Mus musculus: one gene and its partners. The main gene of each other region encodes a partner of the protein of the gene in region 4 in a complex. Links are inferred from orthologs where the notes say so. Each region holds a gene or a part of one and is shown on either strand. Other genes may lie near its edges. The genes, in order: Gtse1, Cltb, Arrb1 and Cltc.

Evidence for each region.
Region 1: the proteins of Cltc (region 4) and Gtse1 are in contact, whole or in part, in a crystal structure (PDB 6QNP), measured with the Homo sapiens proteins. The link is inferred for Mus musculus from reciprocal best matches to the Homo sapiens genes CLTC and GTSE1. Residues at the interface, in NP_004850.1 of Homo sapiens: Val50, Arg64, Pro65, Ile66, Ser67, Ala68, Leu82, Lys83, Ala84, Thr87, Gln89, Phe91, Asn92, Ile93, Lys96, Ser97, Lys98, Asp143, Arg144, His145, Trp164, Gln182, Leu183, Tyr184, Ser185, Arg188, Lys189, Val190, Ser191, Gln192; in NP_057510.5 of Homo sapiens: Ser686, Arg687, Pro688, Leu689, Ile690, Asp691, Leu692, Met693, Ser707, Pro708, Val709, Val710, Gly711, Gln712, Leu713, Ile714, Asp715, Leu716, Ser718.
Region 2: the proteins of Cltc (region 4) and Cltb are in contact, whole or in part, in a cryo-EM structure (PDB 6SCT), measured with the Sus scrofa proteins. The link is inferred for Mus musculus from reciprocal best matches to the Homo sapiens genes CLTC and CLTB. Residues at the interface, in NP_001139599.1 of Sus scrofa: Gln1291, Arg1293, Gly1294, Phe1296, Lys1326, Phe1327, Gln1354, Ala1355, His1356, Pro1382, Thr1383, Glu1413, Phe1414, Lys1415, Pro1416, Leu1417, Gln1444, Pro1446, Leu1447, Thr1473, Glu1474, Glu1475, Glu1503, Leu1504, Ile1505, Arg1508, Leu1533, Lys1535, Met1538, Lys1562; in XP_005661527.2 of Sus scrofa: Pro100, Ser102, Trp106, Gln110, Leu114, Ser121, Thr124, Glu125, Trp128, Arg129, Ala132, Asp135, Leu136, Trp139, Val147, Asn150, Lys151, Asn154, Arg155, Asp158, Tyr162, Glu191, Trp192, Lys194, Val195, Leu198, Cys199, Asp200, Phe201, Cys209.
Region 3: the proteins of Cltc (region 4) and Arrb1 are in contact, whole or in part, in a crystal structure (PDB 3GC3), measured with the Bos taurus proteins. The link is inferred for Mus musculus from reciprocal best matches to the Homo sapiens genes CLTC and ARRB1. Residues at the interface, in NP_776448.1 of Bos taurus: His12, Leu13, Gln14, Gln16, Asn17, Leu18, Gly19, Val50, Asn56, Asp57, Pro58, Ser59, Asn60, Ile62, Arg63, Arg64, Pro65, Ile66, Ser67, Ala68, Lys78, Ile80, Leu82, Lys83, Ala84, Thr87, Gln89, Phe91, Asn92, Ile93; in NP_776668.1 of Bos taurus: His30, Ile31, Asp32, Leu33, Val34, Glu35, Pro36, Pro96, Thr98, Arg99, Tyr173, Pro175, Lys355, Thr374, Asn375, Leu376, Ile377, Glu378, Leu379, Asp380.

Annotation. Positions count from the first base shown.
Region 1 is NC_000081.6:85,857,770-85,862,973, forward strand, and holds the start of Gtse1 (G2 and S phase-expressed protein 1), read left to right. Parts: upstream 1-1,937; 5' UTR 1,938-2,025; intron 2,026-2,176; exon of another isoform or gene 2,177-2,234; 5' UTR 2,235-2,301; coding exon 2,302-2,326; intron 2,327-4,131; coding exon 4,132-4,189; intron 4,190-4,298; coding exon 4,299-4,926; intron 4,927-5,204. UniProt on the Homo sapiens protein: May be involved in p53-induced cell cycle arrest in G2/M phase by interfering with microtubule rearrangements that are required to enter mitosis. Overexpression delays G2/M phase progression.
Region 2 is NC_000079.6:54,608,093-54,613,043, forward strand, and holds the start of Cltb (clathrin light chain B), read right to left. Parts: upstream 3,282-4,951; 5' UTR 3,173-3,281; coding exon 2,986-3,172; intron 1-2,985. UniProt on the Homo sapiens protein: Clathrin is the major protein of the polyhedral coat of coated pits and vesicles.
Region 3 is NC_000073.6:99,597,703-99,602,117, forward strand, and holds part of Arrb1 (beta-arrestin-1), read left to right. Parts: intron 1-788; coding exon 789-859; intron 860-2,098; coding exon 2,099-2,150; intron 2,151-2,301; exon of another isoform or gene 2,302-2,653; intron 2,654-3,395; coding exon 3,396-3,507; 3' UTR 3,508-4,415. UniProt on the Homo sapiens protein: Functions in regulating agonist-mediated G-protein coupled receptor (GPCR) signaling by mediating both receptor desensitization and resensitization processes.
Region 4 is NC_000077.6:86,754,569-86,759,454, reverse strand, and holds the start of Cltc (clathrin heavy chain 1), read left to right. Parts: upstream 1-1,887; 5' UTR 1,888-2,165; coding exon 2,166-2,207; intron 2,208-4,886. UniProt on the Homo sapiens protein: Clathrin is the major protein of the polyhedral coat of coated pits and vesicles. Two different adapter protein complexes link the clathrin lattice either to the plasma membrane or to the trans-Golgi network.

The DNA of each region.
Region 1 (5,204 bases), on a different chromosome or scaffold from region 4:
ACAAACAAAAAAAAAAAACAAAAACCAACTTGTCGCTCCCTATGAGCCAAGTGTTGAGTCCATGGGGACCAAACCTATTCAAACCACTACACCAGCTTAGGGCTGCTCTGCTGTGGCAAATAACCAGATAAGTGACATAGCCATCACGAGGTTTAAGCCCATCTCCTGCTTCTGTGACAGGGACATCCCTCCTGGAAGTTGATGCAGTTCCTACTTAAGTAGGGACTGATGGGCAGGTGGGAGTGGGGAGTGGGTTGGAGGTCTCCAAACCAGATCTTTGCTTAGCCTGCTCAGAGTCCCTGCAGTCTGCTGAGGACTGGACAGGTTTTGGGCATTCATTAAAACAATTGGTCCCGTTGACTACCCTCTCCTATGGGAACCTCTGAGCAGCTCCCAAGTGCCAGGTTTGGGTTGCGTCCTAGGGAGATGGGCTTCTCTAATCTTAGCTGGATGAGGCAGCAAGTCAAGAAATTGTGTAATCGCCATAGGATTTGAAGAGGTACTGTCTCCATATCAGGGAGCCTGGGGACAGGTGCCAAGGGGGAACCTCCTCATTAGTCCTCATTATGTATATGATTCCAAATAATACATGATTCAGCCAGAAGCGGAGTCTTGCTCTCTGTCTCTTTCAGAAAGCCTTCCACCCTGCCTGTGGGCTGGTGACAGTGCCTTCTCTTTGCCCCATAGCCCTTGGCACTTGCCCTTGCTATTGAACCACTTTGTGCTGTGATCTCTGGTATTCAATGGCTTCCATTGAATGCCTTGTCTGTAAAAGCTGGTATGTGTAGGCTTTCATGAAAGAAGGCATGCATCTGCCAGGGACAGGCGACTGATCTTAAAGGGAAATGTGTATGCGTCTGGAGAGATGGCTCCATGGCTGAGCACTTGCCGTTCTTCCAGATGACCAGAGATCAGTACCTAGCGCCCACGTAGAGCCTGTAAATCTAGCCTCAAGGGACCTGACACTCTCTTCTGGCCTCTGTAGGCACTTGCATACCTGTACATACGCACACGTCGGCAAAAAAAATAAAATAAAAATATTTTTAAAGCCAAGAGAAAATGTAAATAGCAGTGAGTTACTATGGGTATGCTTTCCTGAACATCTACTATGACCTGATATGATACAAAGAGAAGTGTTGGTGAACTTTACTGCCCAGTGGATAGCCCCAGGGATGCAGGGATTTCATGCACAGGAGCTAAAGGCTTGGACCACAGATGTGACTGCCACCGTGGTCTTGCGCCCCCCCCTCCCGCCCCCGGTGTGAATCAGAAAAGCCTGGCCCTTAAAATTCCAGATACACAGAACCGGTCACCATCCCCAGCCGGTGGGAACCTTGGGTCCGACGAAGCCAGCTTGCCTACTAGTGAGCCAGACCTGGCCGATGTGTAGAGACGACATCCAGACTTGATGGCCTTCTTGATGGCTATCCAGGCCAACCCTGGACTTCCTTGAACCAACAGACCTTGAAGCCAGTTTCCTGCTCATTGCTATCCAAAGGCATCTAACATATTGGCAGCAAAGAAGTGCTAAGACCGGCTCTGTCACTCTTCTGCATTTGAGGGAAAAGGGAGGGCCTGCACACCAGAGTACAGGAGAGAGGCCTTAGGCTGCAGAGAGTACCCGGACGCATGAGAAATACTGGAGATACCAGGACAAGCACCGGAGAGAGTCGGGACAAATTCCTTCCTAGCTGCCTGACCATCTCCTATGCCCCACCATCACCGCCTCGGTCCCTTTTGCTAGCACAGCCACAGGCGGAACGCTTAAATCCTTTCTGTGTCTCCGGAGGAGGAGAGTCATGGGAACTTCCGGTGGGAGTTTCCTGCGCCCAGCGGAGCCAATCCGTGGCTTGGAGTCTTGGGCATTGGTCTTGTACATCAGCACTCTGACTACATTTCCCAGGCTGCACCGAGAGCGTCTCCTGTTTAAACAGGCCAATCGGCGGCCGGCGGAGCCGGGCGCCGCGTTTAAACCGGTGCCGGAGACCCAGCTGGATTTTATGCCTTCCCGGTCAGAGGCGAGGGGTAAGGAGTGGTCGTAGCGCTGGTCCCGGAGAGTGGGGAACCGGGTCCCGAGCCGCAGAGATCCGGGGAGGACGGGCTGCGGTGCCAGCTCTGCAGCTCAGAGCCGGAAATCCGTTACCCCGCCTCGGGGCGCACAGTCTGGGAAACCGGGAGCAAGTTGGGGCTTGCCTCTGACTTGCCTAATTCTCCCGTCCCCTTGCTTCCTGCAGCGAACTCTGTGGAAGGAGGAGACGGCCGCGACGTGCCTTCGGCCAACCAGTGGAGAGAGAGGTGAAGATGGATGCTGGTAGTAAAAAAGAAGGTAAGTCCTTTCTGTTCGTAAGGCTGTTCTGGAGTGTATTCCTTTTCACCCCAAACAAAATAGAGAGGGCTACAACAGATCAAAGAAACGAAGTCTGGATTGATAAGCAAATAAATTTAACTGAAGTTACTTACAAGGACATTAGCAATTCATAGCTCCACCACCAAAGAAGCCCCTACAACATCCCCACCCACTTTTTAAAACCACTTATGTAATCTTAAGAGGGGCCTCCCCCCACTTCCAGAAGGGCTTTAAGTGGGGGTCTTAATCTTGTGAGGGTCTCCTGTGGTTAATCACAGTTGCTGTGCTATCAAAATGGCAACAGCTTTCTCTTGCACTGAGCGCAGAGTCCCTCACTCCACCCATTCCCCTGTGGTTCATTCTTTTCTCCTCCACTGACTTACTTTGTTTGCTTTTCCTTTCTTGCTTGTTTTTTTGAGCCCTCACTTTGTAACCCGGAACTCACTCTGTAGTCCAGGCTGGCCTTGAATTCATCGAGAGCCACCTTCGGAAGCCTTCTGAGTGCTGGCAAATTCTTTGAAAAGCAAGACTTGCTACGTGGTGGCTGCACACGCCTTTAATGCCCCAACTGCAGAGGCAGGCAGATCTCTTGAGTTTTATTTCAAGGCTAGCCTAGCCTGGTCGACAGAGTGAGTTCCAGAACAGTTAGTTCTCTTTGTAAACCTACACAGTGAAACCCTGTCTAAAAGAGGGGAGGAGGAATCTTTACGATGACTTGGTTTGTGTGTGTGTGTGTGTGTGTGTGTGTGTGTATGTGTATGTGTGTGTTTGGGGGTGGTAACCAAGGTGTGCAAGCACCTGAGGGTCCCAGGGCTTGAACTCAGGTCATCAGATGTGGTGGGAAGTAACTTTGCTCCCCTGAGTCTTAGAGGGTTGATGTGGGTTTACAATTATTTTCTCCCTTTTAGGGCTGAGCACTGGGCCTTTGCACCCTATCAGGTTATGTATCCTCTTTGACACCTTAGGAGACTGCTTAACACAGTGATGCCCATTATAAGAAGCACCTCTAATGACCTAGGCTGGCAGCCCAGTCCAGTAATTTATGAGCATAAACATAAAGGTTTAGAATGCAACTTAACCAGGCTGTAACGTGCATCCTTAATGAAGCCTATGACCTTCCTCCACCTTAGGATTTTGTCCTGAATTATGTAGGTTCCCTCCGGTGAAGCAGACCTTTAAGTACTACTGGGAAGTGGCTGGTCTGTGAGAGAGAGCTGAATAAATCCACAGTTGGTTCAACCAAGGCTATGCTAGGAATGTGGATAGGCAGAGCAAAATTTTTGTTGGTGGTTTTGGTTTAGGTTTTGGGGTTTTTTTTGTTTTTGTTTTTTGTTTTGTTTTCTTTTTTGTTTTGTTTTTTTGGAAAGGGACCCGAGGAGCAGTGGTGCTCCACAGATACTCGTTGGTCTCTACTGTGAGTTTGAACCATCTTTGAACTCATCGCTGATAGATGTCTCATAATTGAATTCCAGGCTAGCTAAAGTAGTTGATCTTTAGAAAATAGCCTGTGCCTGAAGGTGACTTAGCCTTCTTGGAAACCCTAGATTCTATCATAGAGGTAAGGTTCTGTGTTTTGATGGTGGATCAGTGCACTCAGAGTGGCTCCTGGAACTTGAGAGTGGAAATGGGAAATAAGAAGGACTTGAGGTGCCCATGACAATTGATTGAATTCAGGCAACAATCTATTACTTTACTGAGAGATTCATAGCAACTGTGAAACCAGTGCTTTCCTGTTTTATGTTACCCTAAAATAACTGAACTTTTTCTCCCCATCCCCACCCCAGACTTTCTTCTTTTGGAAGATGAAAAATTTGACTTCGATCTTTCCTTGTCTTCTTCAAGGTAAACATGCGTTTTCTTCCCTAACCCCTGGTATAGACAGGTTCATCAAAGCCCCTCGCCTAGATGCTGGTGTGATTTCAGCCCTGATAATCTTTTTCTTTAAACGCAGCACAAATGAAGATGATGAAGTCTTTTTTGGGCCTGTTGGACATAAAGAAAGATGCATTGCTGCCAGTTTGGACTTAAACCGCCGGGTTCCTGGGCAGCCTCTTGCCCCGGGCTCTGGTAGCCCTTGCACCTTGAGCCCTCTCACTGGGGAGAAGTTTGTGGAGGTGTACAAAGAAGCCCACTTACTGGCCTTACAGATAGAAAGTCACAGCCGAAGAGAGGTGGCCCAGGCTGCCACGCCCCAAAATCCTGTGAACCAGGGCAAGGAAACGTTTGTGCAGGACTCACAGTTAAAAGTAAGCCTCTTTGAGAAAGAACAGAAGAGAGACAGAAGTCCCATGTCACTTAAAAGAGAGACATTCTGCCTGCCATCCTCGAGGGTGCAACCGCCCATGGGGGAGCCCCAGCTCCTGGCTTCTCCAGGCCTGCTCAGCTCCCCTGTCTCAGCAGGCCCTGCTCAGACCCAGAGCAACCAGGGTCTGCCCTGTTCCTCTCAGCCGTTGCCAAGAGAATCAAGTACCTCCCAGCCTCCAAGTCAGGCTGGGCCTCAAAAGAGGATCACCAGCAAGCTCCAGCCACCTCGGGCTTTGCCTGTGAGAGGAAGAAACCTTCACCTGGCTACAGAGAAGGTAAACCCAGGCATAGTACAGTTGCGATGTACACAGCCTCCTTGCCTCTCTTCAGCCCATGCCCTGCCAGGGAAGCCTCTCGGGAGGGGCAGCGCTCTGAGCACTGGAAAGCCCAGAATAGAACCAGAATCTGGACAGCGAAGGCAGCAGTGATGGGGAGCTGCCCGGCCGGGCCCCTCTGGGGAGCACTGCCCCTCACATTGGGCTCTGGCTGTTCTCTATGGCTGGGACTTTATACTTCTTCTGCCCGGGTATTACATGAATGTCAGGGAAATGGC
Region 2 (4,951 bases), on a different chromosome or scaffold from region 4:
TTGGCCAAATGAGAGCTGGACTGTTCTTGGGGTTCACTGTAATTGGCAAGGCCTCTCTGAAACTGTCATGCCGCCTAGCTGCGAGCCACAGCAGGCCTCATATGGTCCCCATAGATAAACAATTAGCCCTGTATGGGATAGACTGGCCTCTGAAGAGCAACAGTGCTTCTGGCCTAAGCCTGACCTGATTCATCAGGGCCTTGCAGTCTCATGTCAATTATGTGTCACAGATATAAATTATAGCTTATTTATCGTCAAGCAGTGATTAATCCTGATTCACTATGACAGCTCTCATCCCACCCACTCTGGGAGGGTTTCTACAGTACAGGTGGCCTGCTCTCTAAATAAGGGTGGTCCCAAAAGGCTATGAGCATCATCCTCCTTTCAGTCTTTGGGACTGCATACACACCCACTCTTAGAAATACCAGCCTGTATCCCACAGGGCTCTTGCACATTTATGATTCCGAGTCTACAACAGAGCCCGCAGAACAAATACAGCAAAGCAAATAACATGTTCCAAGGATAAGCTTTTTGGTGTGTGGTCACCTCAGGAATAATGGCAAAAGATCCAGAACATTCCTGTGAGCTTACTGAGACCAGCAGGGGCAAGAGGATTACACAGTGCTTGGTCACAGGCAGGCCAAGAGCCCAGCTAACGGGTGTGAAAGTGTAGAGCATTTGGGCACTGCCCAAGGCTGATGAATGGAAACAAAGTATCCGCAGCTCAGGCCGGCTGCAGATCCGCCCAGAGGGAAGGCTCAGTGGGGTTCCGGTTCAGGCCTACGCCAGACACAGCTTTCCCCAGGCCCCCCTGAGAGCCAGCAGCAGTGAAGCGGCATTGAACTTGGCTCGAGAGCTGCTATCAGAAGACCTCATTGTCTCTGGGAGGTGACTCAGAGGTGTGCATTGGTGGCTGCTGTTAGAACTAGCTTCTTTCCAACTCCCAGAATTGCCCAGACAGTTCACCTCAGACCACCCAGGCTCCTATCATTCCCTGCAAACGCAGAGGAGGATGGGTACCTCCCACTGTCTAGGCTTAGGAGAATCAGGTCTGTTCTATTTATGCCTGAACACCCGCTGAGCTCCCCTCCTGAAGCACCTCCTTGTTCCCCAAACTGCCACTCAGAAGGGCAGCTGGGCACCTGCAGCTTGATGGAGTCCGGGAGACCCTCAGAGGGTCAAGTCCCTGGCTGCTTCCCTAAGGGTTATCACCACTGTCTCCCTCCCGGTTATCTCATATCTAGGGCTAGTCAGTGCCCTACCCACCCAGACTGTAAGTCCCTAGGAAAGACTACAACTTGCAAAATCCCAGGCTCCTGTGGCTATCCTCAGCTGGAACTGCATCTGTCTTTCTCCTGAGTTGCTAACAACTTGGGACCTCCTAATGAGGGAAAGGACTGTTCCCAAGGGGTGACCATGGACAAGTGAGTTCCATACAGGAACTTAGGAGGTTCCCAGGGACAATGAAGGGCTGAGGGACTGAGAGCTGCTATTTCAGAGCTGCATGGCTGGCTTGGATAGGCCCCTGCTTCTCCCTGCTGTATCCAATCATCTCCTAAGGAGACCAGCACAGCTGCCCTTTGGAAGATCATAACTAGGAGGCCTGAAATCAAGCCCCAGACCTATCACTCACGGCTGTGTGGCCCTAGGCAAGACATTCAAACTCCAGTTTTTTCTTTTTAATTATTATTATTTATATTTTCTTTACTTGTGTGTGTTTGTGTGTGTGTGTGTGTGTGTGTGGTGCAGGCATGTATGCGAGGTCGGGGGGACAATTTGTGGGAGTGAGTTCTATCTACCGCCATGAGGGTTCCAGGGCGTGAGCTCAGGTGTCACCAGGCTGGGCTGATTTACATTTACTTGACAAGCCATCCTGATAGCCCCTCAAACTCCAGTTCCGTGTATGTTACAAAAGGCTTATTACACTTATGTCAGAGTTTCTTCAAACGCTGGGCCATAGATACAGTTTCTTCCTTCTGTGTTCCCAGTGGGGACGGCAACACAGCAAGTGTGGAAGGAAAGAAAGATGAATGTATACATACAATATTTATTTCCAACAGGACCATTAAACCTCTTTAACATGACACCAAAAAATAACAAGGTCTACTAGGAGGGTCACCATGAAGGTCCATATTTGTACTAAATATTTAAATATATTTATAAGAAATTGTTCCTTGGGGCAGAAGTATCAATGATAAACATAACAATGCAGGAAAAAGGTCCTGAACCCTTATGTCTGAAGCCACACGCAGAGGTCCGGGCCACCTTTGTAAATCCACTAAACAAACAGTTACAAACAGGAAGGGCACAGCTCTTGGCCATTTGTGCCCCTGCCTAGACTTACAGTCGGGCCCATGAAGGACTGTGAGGTCTGGACAGGAAGAATTCAGCATCCGAAAGAAGGGGTTGAATTCTTTATTGCTACTTCCTAGTTGTTTTAATAGTGTACCCTTTGAAGCCAGTTCTAAAATGGGTTCAGTAACGTGTATGAAATTATTATATGTAATTAACATTGTCTCCCGCACTGCTGCAGGACTGCAGGTGATCCCCAAAGGATGAGCTGCGAGTTCTCTGAGCGCCCCCTGCTTCCCTGCAGAAAGGAACGCTAACGCTAACGTCAGGAGGACGTGTCCGTCCCACACCTGTATCACTTAGCTAGGACACTGGGACAGTCTCAGAACTGAGCAGGGGGAGGGTTCCAGAGCCAGGGTGGAGAAGCTGGCCTGGGGATGAAATGTCATGACTAAATTCCTGTCCCCAGAGTCAGCAGATCCAGTCTCAGCGCAGATTCCAACTCATCTCCCGGCTCCTTCCTCTTTTCCCAGGCCTCACGGATACACACAGCCCCCCGAGGTACCCTTGGTCACCCTGGATAGCCGGACTCAGAGTACAGCAGGGACCCAGGCCGGGTCTGACCGAGACTGGGCCTCCCGCCCCCGGTGGTGGCCTCAGCCTCCCCGGTTCCAGGCCGCTGCGCTGACTCACCCCCGCTCGCGAGTCCCGGCTGCGCAGAGGCCACCTGGCTGGCGGCAGGTGCCCCGAAACCCGGGTCATTCTCGATGCCAGCAATCTCGCTTTCCTGCTGGGCCAGGAAGGCGGCCGCTGGGTCCTCCTCGGCGGCCTCCGGGGCCCCGCTCTCCGACGATGAGAAGAAGCCGAAGTCCTCAGCCATCTTCCCCGCGTGGCTGCTGTCACCTCCCGCCCGCGCCCGCGGCCCGCACTTCCCGTCACCCGCCCGGCTTGCCTGTCACTGCGGCTGCAGCGGCGGCGGGAGGAGTCGCGGCGGGAATGCGGTGACGTCAGCGGCCGAGGGCGGGGCCCGCGGGGCTGGGTGGTCGCCCCGCCCTCGGTTCGAGCCCCCGAAGCCCACCTTCGGCTCCAGAGCGTGCCAGCAGCACTGGGCTGGCACCGGGTGCATTGAACCGAAAAGTTTCTCCCAGAGCTGATTTTGTGAGCTGCGTGATACAAGAGTACTCTTCCTGCGTAGGAGGAGGGAGCTGAGGCTGGGAAAGGCTTGAGTGCCAGGCGCGCACAGCAGAGCCTTGTTCTCTCAGGACTGAGTAAAGCATCCCGCCGCCCTATCTGTGTGATGAGCCCCTGAAATCAGGGACTGTTCCTCTTTCTCCCTGTCTGGTGACATTGATGTTCCTTAAGGCAACTAACTGGCTGATTGTTTTGTCTTTCAATTTGAGCTCTTTCTCTAGTTCTTAGAGCAGAGGGTCAGTTTGTCCCATTATTGGTTAGGTTCCCGTTGATTACTCAGTACAGTACAGGTGGAGCCTGCTTTTTTCTTTGGTAATTAATATACGTATTGTGACAGCAGATTGTATGCCAAACTCGCATTGCACATTGCAATTACTTTCGCGGTTTTTGTTGTTGTTGTTTTGTTTTTTAGTAGCCTGTTTGACCTCAAATTCTTGTATAGCTGAGGCTGGCTTCAAAGTAGTGATTTTTTTTTTTTTTTTTTTTTTTTTTTGTATTTCGAGACTGTTTTTCTGTATAGCCCTGGCTGTCCTGGAACTCACTCTGAAGACGAGGCTGGCCTCGAACTCTGAAATCTAACAGCCTCTGCCTCCCAAGTGCTGGGATTAAAGGCATGCGCCACCACTACCCGGAGACCTTTTTCAAAAATACAGTATCTTTTTTGGTTGTGTTTTTGTTTTTCAAGACAGGGTTTCTCCATGTATCCCTGGCTGATCCTGGAGCTCACTCTGTAGATAAGGCCGGCCTCAAATTCATAAAGATCCACATGTCTCTGCCTCTAGGATGCTGGGATTAAAGGCGAGCACCACCACTGCCAGGTGAGTACCTCTCTTTTAGTCTTTGTCAATTTATATATATATATATATGTATATATGTGTGTGTGTGTGTGTGTGTGTGTGTGTGTGTATATGTGTATATATATATATATATATATATACATATACATATATATATATTATGTATACAGTGTTCTGCCTGCATATATGCCTGTAGGACAGAAGAAGGCACCAAGATCACATCACAGATGGTTGTGAGCCACCATGTGGTTGCTGGGAATTGAACTCAGAACCTCTGGAAGAGCAGTCAGTGCTCTTAACCACTGAGCCATCTCTACAGCCCTCTTTGTCATTTTATACAAACAAGTAATGCATTTTGAGCATATGCTCCCCCCTCACATATCTCACGCCTCCCAGGTATCCCCTCCCTAACAGTTCCCCTCCCCCACTTGAAATTTTTTTATTTATTTATATATTTATGTGAGGACACTGTAGCTGTGCAAATGGCTGTGAGCCTTCATGTGGTTTTTCAGAATTGAATTGGTTTAGGACCTCTGCTCCCTCTCCAGTCAACTCTGTTCACTCAGTTTTTTGGTTTTCCGAGACAGGGTTTCTCTGTGTAGCTCTGACTGTCCTGGAACTCACTCTGTAGACCAGGCTGGCCTCGAAATCAGAAATCTGCCTGCCTCTGC
Region 3 (4,415 bases), on a different chromosome or scaffold from region 4:
GTATGGCTTCATGGAAGGCTGACTGTATCTGGCTTGTACCAGTCCATCACACCCAGGCCCTTCCCACTTCACAGCTGGCAACATGACCAGTAAGATGTGGTTGTGTTTTCTGGAGACACTCATAATTTTAGGGAGGCTCTGCTAAGATATGCCACCCTTAGCAGTGAGGAGCCTTCAGGGCTACGTTTAATCAGTCTTTTAATTCTGTTTATCATCCAGTGGCTAAGGGGATGGGTGATTGAGCCAGAGTCTTTCTGCACTTACTGCCAATAGCTGTGCAGCCTGAGGCAAGAGGCTAATCTCTGAGTGCCTAAACCTAGGGCATCTTAATAATAGGGCTGTAGTGAAGAGGATCGCAGGAGTTGTTCTAAGGAGGGGCTTGGTACACTCTGTATCATGCAAATGCCCGTTCTTGTCCTCAACCTGTGTACCAGGGACAGTGTCAGGGAAGGCCTGGTCACCAACAATGACTGGTGACCAGCTCTTTCACAGGCACACACAGGAGGTGTCAGCGTCTGCCTATGGTGTGGACAGCTCCTGAAACCTGTGGGTGGCAGAGAGGCGGGTGGGCAGGACTGGGAGAAAATTGGAAAGGGTGGTGTCAAGAGGCCATGATGATTTGAGATGGGCAGAGCCCCAGGCCACTTTGGTTACCCACTGACCATGGTGTGAGTCCCCAGCGGGCATGGTGCCCAGCCCATGGTCTCCCCAGGCCTCAGACGGACAGGGCAGCAGGTCTTTCTCTCTGAGGCACTCACCGAGCTCGCTGGACGGGGTGTGTGTTTCAGTGATGTGGCCGTGGAGCTGCCTTTTACCCTAATGCACCCCAAGCCTAAGGAGGAGCCCCCACATCGGGAAGGTGAGTAGGACCTGTGGGCCACTGGGGTGGGGTTTACCAGCCTCCCTGTTACCCCACTGCTCTGCTTCTTTCTGGGTTAACCTCCAGCCCAGAGTCATCCTTTCCCCAGCTCCCAGTCTTCTGCAGGGCCTACAACACAACTATTATTTGCTTTTGACCCAACTAGGGGGGCAGAGAGCCCTGACTGCTATTCTCCATGGGACAGGGAGGTTCGGAGTGGAGGACAAGCCACACTGGTGGATTTTAATTTTAAAAATTATTATGATTTAAAAATATTTATTTTTATTTTATGTGTATGGGTATTTTGCCTGCATGTATGCCTGTGTACTATATACATGCAGTACCTTCAGAGGCCAGAAGAGGGCGTCAGATCCACTGCGACTGGAGTTACAGATGGTTGTTAGACATCCTGTGGGTACTGGGAACTGAACCCACAACCAGAAGACCCAGTACTCTTAACTGCGGAACCATGCTCAGTCCCCATATTAGTTGAGGGTTTTTTTTGGTTTGGTTTTTGTTGTTGTTGTTGTTGAGACAGGGTTTCTCTGTATAGCCCTGACTGTCCTGGAACTCACTTTGTAGACCAGGCTGGCCTTGAACTCAGAAATCCGCCTGCCTCTGCCTCCCAAGTGCTGGGATTAAAGGTGTGCACCACCACACCCGGCATTAGTTGAGTTTTTAAGGAGGTAACAGATTGACTACATTCCATTGCAAGGGATGTTACAGTCCCTCTCACAAATGGAGTCTGCCTATGAGTAGTCGGTGAGATGCCGCAGATGGCACTCTGAATTCAGAGAGGTTACAGTGTGAAAAAAAAAACAAAAACAAAAACAGGGCAGTGTGATAACACATGCCCATAATCTCAGCAGAGGGAAGTGTGTGAGGTAGGAGGATCACGTTTGAGGCCAGCCAGGGCTGCAAAATGATCTTAGGGTAAATGGAACTCAGGGAAGCAAAAAGTGAATGTGTCTCACGTTGGAGACCTGCTTCCTGCAGGGTGTTCATTGGGCATGGATGCCTCCCTCCCACATCTGCTGGTTTTTGACCTGGGAGGCTTCTCACTCACCTTCCTTCCTTGCCCTCCCCATCTTATCTAGAGAGTCTGAGGAGTGTGTGTGTGTGTGTGTGTGTGTGTGTGTGTGTGTGTGTGTATGTGCGTGTGGTCCCTGTCCCATCCCTCACCTCTCATCCCACACCCCACTTACCCCTGGGTACCTCACAAGCCTTGTATATTTTCAGTTCCAGAGAGCGAGACTCCAGTAGACACCAATCTCATAGAGCTTGACACCAAGTAAGCTGAACCTTCCTGCCTGTGCTGTCTGGGGAGGGGCTGGAGGTGGGACGGGAGAGGTGGAGGGGTCATTTGCATAAATGTTAATCAACCTCTGAGGAGCAGCTGGTCTAACCTGTCTGCTGAGAGCCACCTCTGCTCACCTCTTCAGCAACCTGCTTGCCTGCATGTGACTTGAAGGACCCTCCATGCCTGTTCCTCTTCCTCCTGCATTGGTGGGGTCTGTCTTCCTTGTACGTCCGTCAGTCAGTCAGTCCGTCCGTCTGCAGCACCCACCCAGCTGGCTGACACGGGGCTGGTTCAGACTCTGGGGCTCCCCTCTCTTACCCGACCAAGCCAGTTGGAGGCTGCCTGTGGGGTGGAGAAGGTGTCTGGGTGCTGTCACTCTTGCGGCCTGAGGACCAACCGATTCGGACTCCCCTGCGGTGGAAGGCCATGGGGCACCAAACAATGGCCAGAGGAAGAGGACCTGGTTCAATGGCTTGAATCGCCTCTGGGGCCAGGTGGCTTTCTCCTTCCAGCTTCCCAAACCTCCTTTCCTTGATTCTTTGGTGAGATCTGAGAAACAGAGGTTTGATGTTGCCCTGAGGAAACCCATTCAGCTGACTGAATTCAATGGGGGCCAGGGACTTCTGCCTCTGCCTGGGCCAAAGGGTCATGGTGGAAAGAAAGAAACAGTCCTTAGTCCTGCAACCTTAAACCAGGCACCTTTCCCCATCACTCTGTCCTCATATCCTCACCATCTTCCAAGCCCCGTTCCAAAGTCCCTCTCCAACCTAGGACTCCGGGGATGTGGGTTAGATCTTCTAGGAGAAAGACCTGTTCTCCTTCCTTAGAACCCAACACCAACTTCCTGGTTGAAACAGTTACCCTCCCTAAAGCAGTCTTGGTAGTTTGATTTGGAGGGGTGAAATAGGGTTTCTTGGGCTTGTTCTTTGGGGATTCCGACGCAGAGCCACATTGCTCCCCCTACTTACCTTCTCCATCTCCCCAGGAACAGGGTTGCTTTTCTAGCCCTTATGCACTGAGAGGCAAGCTTTTTGCAGTTTATTTGTGAGAACCCCCACAGCCATCAGTGGGCTTGTAAATGGGCCAGCCAGGCACGCCTTTCTGCCTGAGGTCATCCCAGAGACCCTGGAGATCAGGGGTTCTCTCTTGAGTCCTCCCATCGTTTGGCCAGGCCTCTGGATCTGCCTGTCGTCTACCTCTGCAAACACACGGCATTTTCCTTGTCTCTCCCACTAGTGATGACGACATTGTATTTGAGGACTTTGCTCGCCAGCGGCTGAAAGGCATGAAGGATGACAAGGACGAAGAGGATGACGGCACCGGCTCTCCGCACCTCAACAACAGATAGACTAGGGCCGGCCTCAGCCCGGCAGCTCCAGGTTCACTCTCGCACTCGGATGCTTTCTCGTCTCCTTCCCATTCTGGTTCTTCCTTTTGTTCTTCCAGTTTCTACCAAGGGGCCCCAGTGGTCTTCCAAGTCTCGGTGATGGGCCTCTCGCATCACCACGCCAGCAGGACCACGTCCTCAGCCATCTCTCTGCAATCACCTGCCCACCTCCTTCTCATGCTCATTCCCAGGAAGGCCACACTGCCTGGCCTTGGGATTTGGCTTGAGATGGGGAGCAGAAAGGGGAGGGTGGGGCCTGAAGGCACAATGATGATGGGTGTGAAGATGTGGAGGGGGTGGGCAAGATGGCTCAAGACACACAAGAAGATGTCTGTAGTCCCAGTAGGTGACAGTTTTGGCAGCTAAATGATGACCAGATTGAAGGTGGGAGAGGGCAGGACTGTGAATAGATTCTCAATGCTTTTTTGTGTGTGTGTGTGGTCCAGGGCCACTAGAGACTCCTCCCCCTCCATCCTCATCCTTGGTCCATGCCCCTATGTCTCATGGGGGAGGCACATAGACCCCAGGAATGAAGAGCAGTGGACTGACTTTCTAACCAGATGACACCTAGATTGAAGCAGGCCACATATGTCAGAACTGATAGACTGAGATATCATAGCTTCATTGCATTTTTGTGTGCTGGCACAGAGAGGGGAAGTGGGTGTTTAACAAACACCAGCCCCTAGCAGTGAGCCAAAGCTACTGAGGATGTTGTCTGAGGGGAGTTTAAGTGATAGGGCCGGGTAGGGAGGCATCCATCCTCTTTTGTAGTGGATAGTCCTTAGGGAAACAAGGATGGAGGGACATAGGCAGCTGGAGCCACCTGTATCTCCCAGCTTCCTCTAGTTCTTCTCCAGTGACTGGCCCTG
Region 4 (4,886 bases):
AATACTGCCTTTCATATTTAGGCTGAGAGGAGAATCTGGCAGGCAAGGCAGCAGTCCTATTAATAAGCAGAATGATTTGGGATATCACCATCTACTTTTCTTCTTTCTAAATGATTTCTGAAAACAACTCATTCTTGAAATTTCTATGTGTGATGACAAAGCAGTCTCAGCGCACTTTTTGGTTAGGTATTCCACACCAAGGAAGTAAAATCAACTGCTCTGGGGATTTGAAATGTCCTTTCATGCAGGGTCTGTATGAAAATACAAGGCCCTTGTCAATAAATTGAAATGTGGTGATCTGTTCATGGTGAAGCTCTTACATCCCAAATTCTGAGATTGAAAGTGCAATTCTATTAAGCTACTGACATTTCTGTAATAAAACAGTAACTCCCTTAGGATTTTAATTTAAAATTTGCCCACCTCTAGAAAAGGACAAAGTCTTATGAAAACAATCTTTTCAAACATTGCAGGACAGGGCACATTCAAGTGCTTAAGTGAAATTATGTAAACACAAAACATCCTAAATATGGTGGCAAGGCTCTTCTTCAAGGGTCTGTTGTCTGCCTTCTCACTTGCCTGGTTCTCCTCTCAGCCCAGATATGAAAGGCAGTATTTGGGGGGAATACTAAACGCAACTGAAATGACTAAGCAGATTTCTCTAAGCAAAACCGCTTACGCAAAATTATTGTACACCCAGTGGTTGTCTTATGTTCTTTAGGTTGAAAGGGGCATTGAAAGTAATTTCCTCAAGAACTTTCAGGGGGATTAAGACGAACTATGTGGAAATGAACTCTCTAAATCTTCCTTATATTGGTGCTATTGTGAGACATTACACCTTACACTTTAGCAAGAGCTCTGGGGCGGCTATTAATCGCTAATGAATGCTGCAGATAGCTTACTGCTGTAGGAAGGCAAGGTGCTCCGGTTTTGAAGGGCTTATTACATCGCCCACCCTGTAACTACAGGTAATGGTCCTACTACCATGTATGACTAACAGTCAATCCCTCAGCTCCAAGACAGCCCCTGAGGTTTCTTTCCCTAGCCATCCTTTGATCTACATCTTTTAAGCTTTTTCCTGTGGCCGAACCCTCCAGTTCTCGAAGGCCAAACTGATCTCTACACTAGGCTGATCTAAGTCCACCAAAATGTCCGCGGAAGCGCTCTCCAGGGGCCAGCAGGAGATTCTTCTCCCATGGCCTTCCCTGTCCTTTGAGATGGTTTATCTGAGGATCTCGAGGAGCCATCCGGCTCTCCTGGCGTCAGAAGGGCGTGCGTCAGGGCAAGGAAGCTTGCAGCTCAGTACGGTCCCCCTCCCTGAGGTGTCAGCAACCACCCACTGCGCGAAACCAGGCGGGGGAGGCGCGCCGCAGCCAGCCGCCCGAGGAGCTCTGCGGCGGGGCCGTTTCCCTTAGTCACCGCGGCACCCACGCCGCGGCCTTCTCCTCAGGCACTCGGTGTCCTCACGCCCAGGCCGCCACGCCGGCAGGGGGCTCAACCGCCACCTCCTCCCCAGGAGCAGCGGCCAGTATCTTGCCTCTCGCCCTCCACTCTGGCAGCCTTCAACCGACCCTTCCCTACCCGCATCACGTGCACCGGGAAGTGCGTGGGTGGGTCTTACAGCGCCTACGGAAATGACGTAGTTCGCCCCGAGTCGCATGATGTGGCAAAATGTTAAAAAAAAAAAAAAGTGGGAGGGGGGAGGGGAGAAGGGAGAAACCGGAGCCTGGGGAAAGTGATGAGTCTAGAAAAAGTAGTCCCTCGGTTCCTCTGTTTCCCCGCAGCCGCATCAGCGAAGAGCGCTCCGCGCACTGCGTCCCTGAATCCCTACGCCCGACCGCGGCGCGGCGTCTGTGGAAGGCTACATAAGGCGGACGGCGTGAGGAGACTGGGCGGAGTTCTGCCTCGGGATCCTTCCGCAGGGCTCAGCCGTTTCCGGAGTCTGCGCTGCTCCCGGTTCCGCCATTGCGGCTCTCCCGGCCCCTGGAGCCTCCGCCCCCGACCCAAGCTCTCTCGTCTGCCTGCCAGTTCCCTGCGTCCCCGGAGAGTATCCCTCTGAGCCCAGCCTCCCCTCCCCTTCCCCGTCTCCTCCTCTCCCTTGGAGAGCCCGGGCAGGCACTGCCCTGCAGCCCCAGTGACAGGAGGAGACCATACTCCCCGACAGCGCCATGGCCCAGATTCTGCCCATTCGCTTTCAGGAGCATCTCCAGGTACGTGTGAGTCGGGGCTGCTGAGGGACTTTTCGAGGGTCGTGGGAAGGAAGAAGCTAGCGGCCTGGCCCGAAAGGGATCGAGAGAAGGGGAGTGGGGGGTGTCGGTATTTGGCATAGGTGGAGGAAGGACAGTGTCTTAAAAGCTTAAAGGGTTAAATGATATGAGACTAGGATGGAAATGACGAATCGGAGTGCAAAGGGCGGCGAGGCCAGGCCTTACGTCTGACGACCTCTTATTCTGCTTCCTGGATTGCAAGAACTGCGCATACCAGACCCCCCTTCCCATTTTACTCAGTTCATTCATTTGGGTAGGGGCTAGGTGGGGGAGCTTCTCGCGCGTTTCTCCCAGAGCAAGATTTCTCGTTAACCCTGAGCGACGCGGGGCTGTCACCTTCCCTTGGTCTATTCCCATTTCTACATCGAGTCTGCACCCAGGAATTGTGTGGCGGGTGGGTTGGGGAGGAGCTGCATCCTCCCTCTGCAGCTCACCACTGAGAAAGGCACCTTGGGGTTAGGGTAGCAGTGGCTCGTGGCTTGCCTTCCCTGAATCTATAAGGAACCGAAGGTCACACTCACTGAAGGAACAGAAAGAAGATAGAGGGGCGGCAAGGGGCGGTGTCAGTCTCGGTGCCTGGGGTCAAGGTCCCAAGGGGAACGCGCATATTTTTCCTTTCTTGGTTTCTTCAGAGGGTTAGTGTAGCTCTTAGGCTCACTTTGATTCTTGCAGGTAGGGAGAGTTATTTAGAGGTTATTTATGGCCTTTTGGAATTTAGCAGGTAGTTGTGGGATTACGGCAGGAGTATGTCTCACAGGACTGCGTGGAATTCATCAGAGCCGGGTTTAAGTGCATACCTGCTCTGTGTCAGTACCTAACAAGTTGATCTGTAACTGGCTCCTTTTTAATAGTCTGGGGCGTCCCCCCTCCGCCCCCCACTGCACCTTATCCTGGAGTCAATACACCATTGTCTAACCTGGCAACCTGCCAGCAGTTGGCCTAGGCAGGTGACTGTTGGAGGGCTTCGCTGAATTACGCTTCTTCTGAACTGCTGATTTTCCTGGTTCACTTGTCCCGACTCTTTGACATCATAATTTATTCATATTAATTTACTTTCCCTCAAGTATCCCCATAAAGAAATCTGCTTTCAGCTGCATCTTCTGAAGGGCTAATTTCATGAGGGGGAGGTGCAGTGATCCAGTTCAAATATTGGTAACTTATTGAGTGCTTTATCATTGAAGGCAATCTGATTTACTTTTCTTCATTGATATACATAAAAGATGTTTGATAATAAAGAGGGTTAACTAAAATTTAGCACCAAGTAAAATAATTAAATATTTCTTTATAGACTTTACCGTGTTGCTAACATTAACGAATTATTTTACTTTAGGACTTCTTTGCCCATTAAATGACTTGAATACATTTTCTTCAGTCATCACTAGTTTTCAAATAATTCATCTGATTTTGGCAATAAGATCTCTATTTTGTAAAGGTCTGAAAAATGTCAAGTGACAATGCTGACAGAGAAGTTAATTTTTGTTCTCAATTCAAGCTTGAGTTTCCTCTGTTAAGAATATAAAGTGTTAGGAAAGCACTGTTCTGGATGTTAGTGGACAGTGGGCTCTTCAGGCTGAGTTAAGAGGGAGGCAGCCTGTGTACACTAACAACAGAAAAAAATCTAGCTTTAATTAATTGCTTGCTTTAATTAATTTGACCATGATTTGGGTTGCTGTTTTTTCTTCTCCCATCTTTGGGATTAACACTTGGCCACACTGAAGTTACCAGAAATAGCTTTCTGCAAATATGTGTATAAACCTTACACAAAAGAAGCAAAGACAACTGCTGATGACATGACCGTTGCTGGTGATTTGAGTAATAGTTTTTCATTTCTATTAAACTCAAGACCAGAATTGTTGAATGGTCTTACAGACTGGAATCCAAACTTGTCACTAATTAAAAACAGATTTAATGCAGGTGTGGCATGTGAGTAGCAATTTCTGCAAATATTTGAAACTGTTTTCCAAAATTTAAAGATTTTGAATATTTATAAAATAGCTTTACAGATACACTTGAAGATCTCGGATGCTTATTTTCTGGAGGACCTCATTACACTTTAGGCTTTGGCTGGTAGGATCCCACTCTAGTAGATAGAGTCAGGTGTGCCGAAAGGATAATGTATCTTCTGATCTCAGACTTTTATTCCCTCTCTTTTAACAAACAAACATACAGTGTAAGGATTATTCCAGTTGTCATCTTAAGTCTTTGATTGCCCAGCCTCTGCCATTCTGCTTAGAAAACAACTTTCTAAAGCATTTAGGAGAACTGGGAAGTAAGGAGTGTAGAGTTCACTTGTGAAAGTTAACAGCAAACTCTAAATTAATTTATTTTAAACTTTTTATGAGAATGTTGCAAATAAAAAATTGCTATTTATTTTCATATCCCTTTGTGCATTTGTTTAGATGAAGATCTGTCATCAAGGCTTGGAACTATATCACATAATTTTGATATTTTATGTGATGAAGGAATTTTTGTTGAGTTGCAGATTCTGAACAAATTCTAGGCTGCAGAACTCAGAAAGTTCAGTGCCAGCCAGCAAAACCCTGTCTCAAAGGACAAAACAACAAAACCCCACTGCCTGCAATTTTCAGTTCCTGGCATATTAAGCATTTTGCAATTGACACA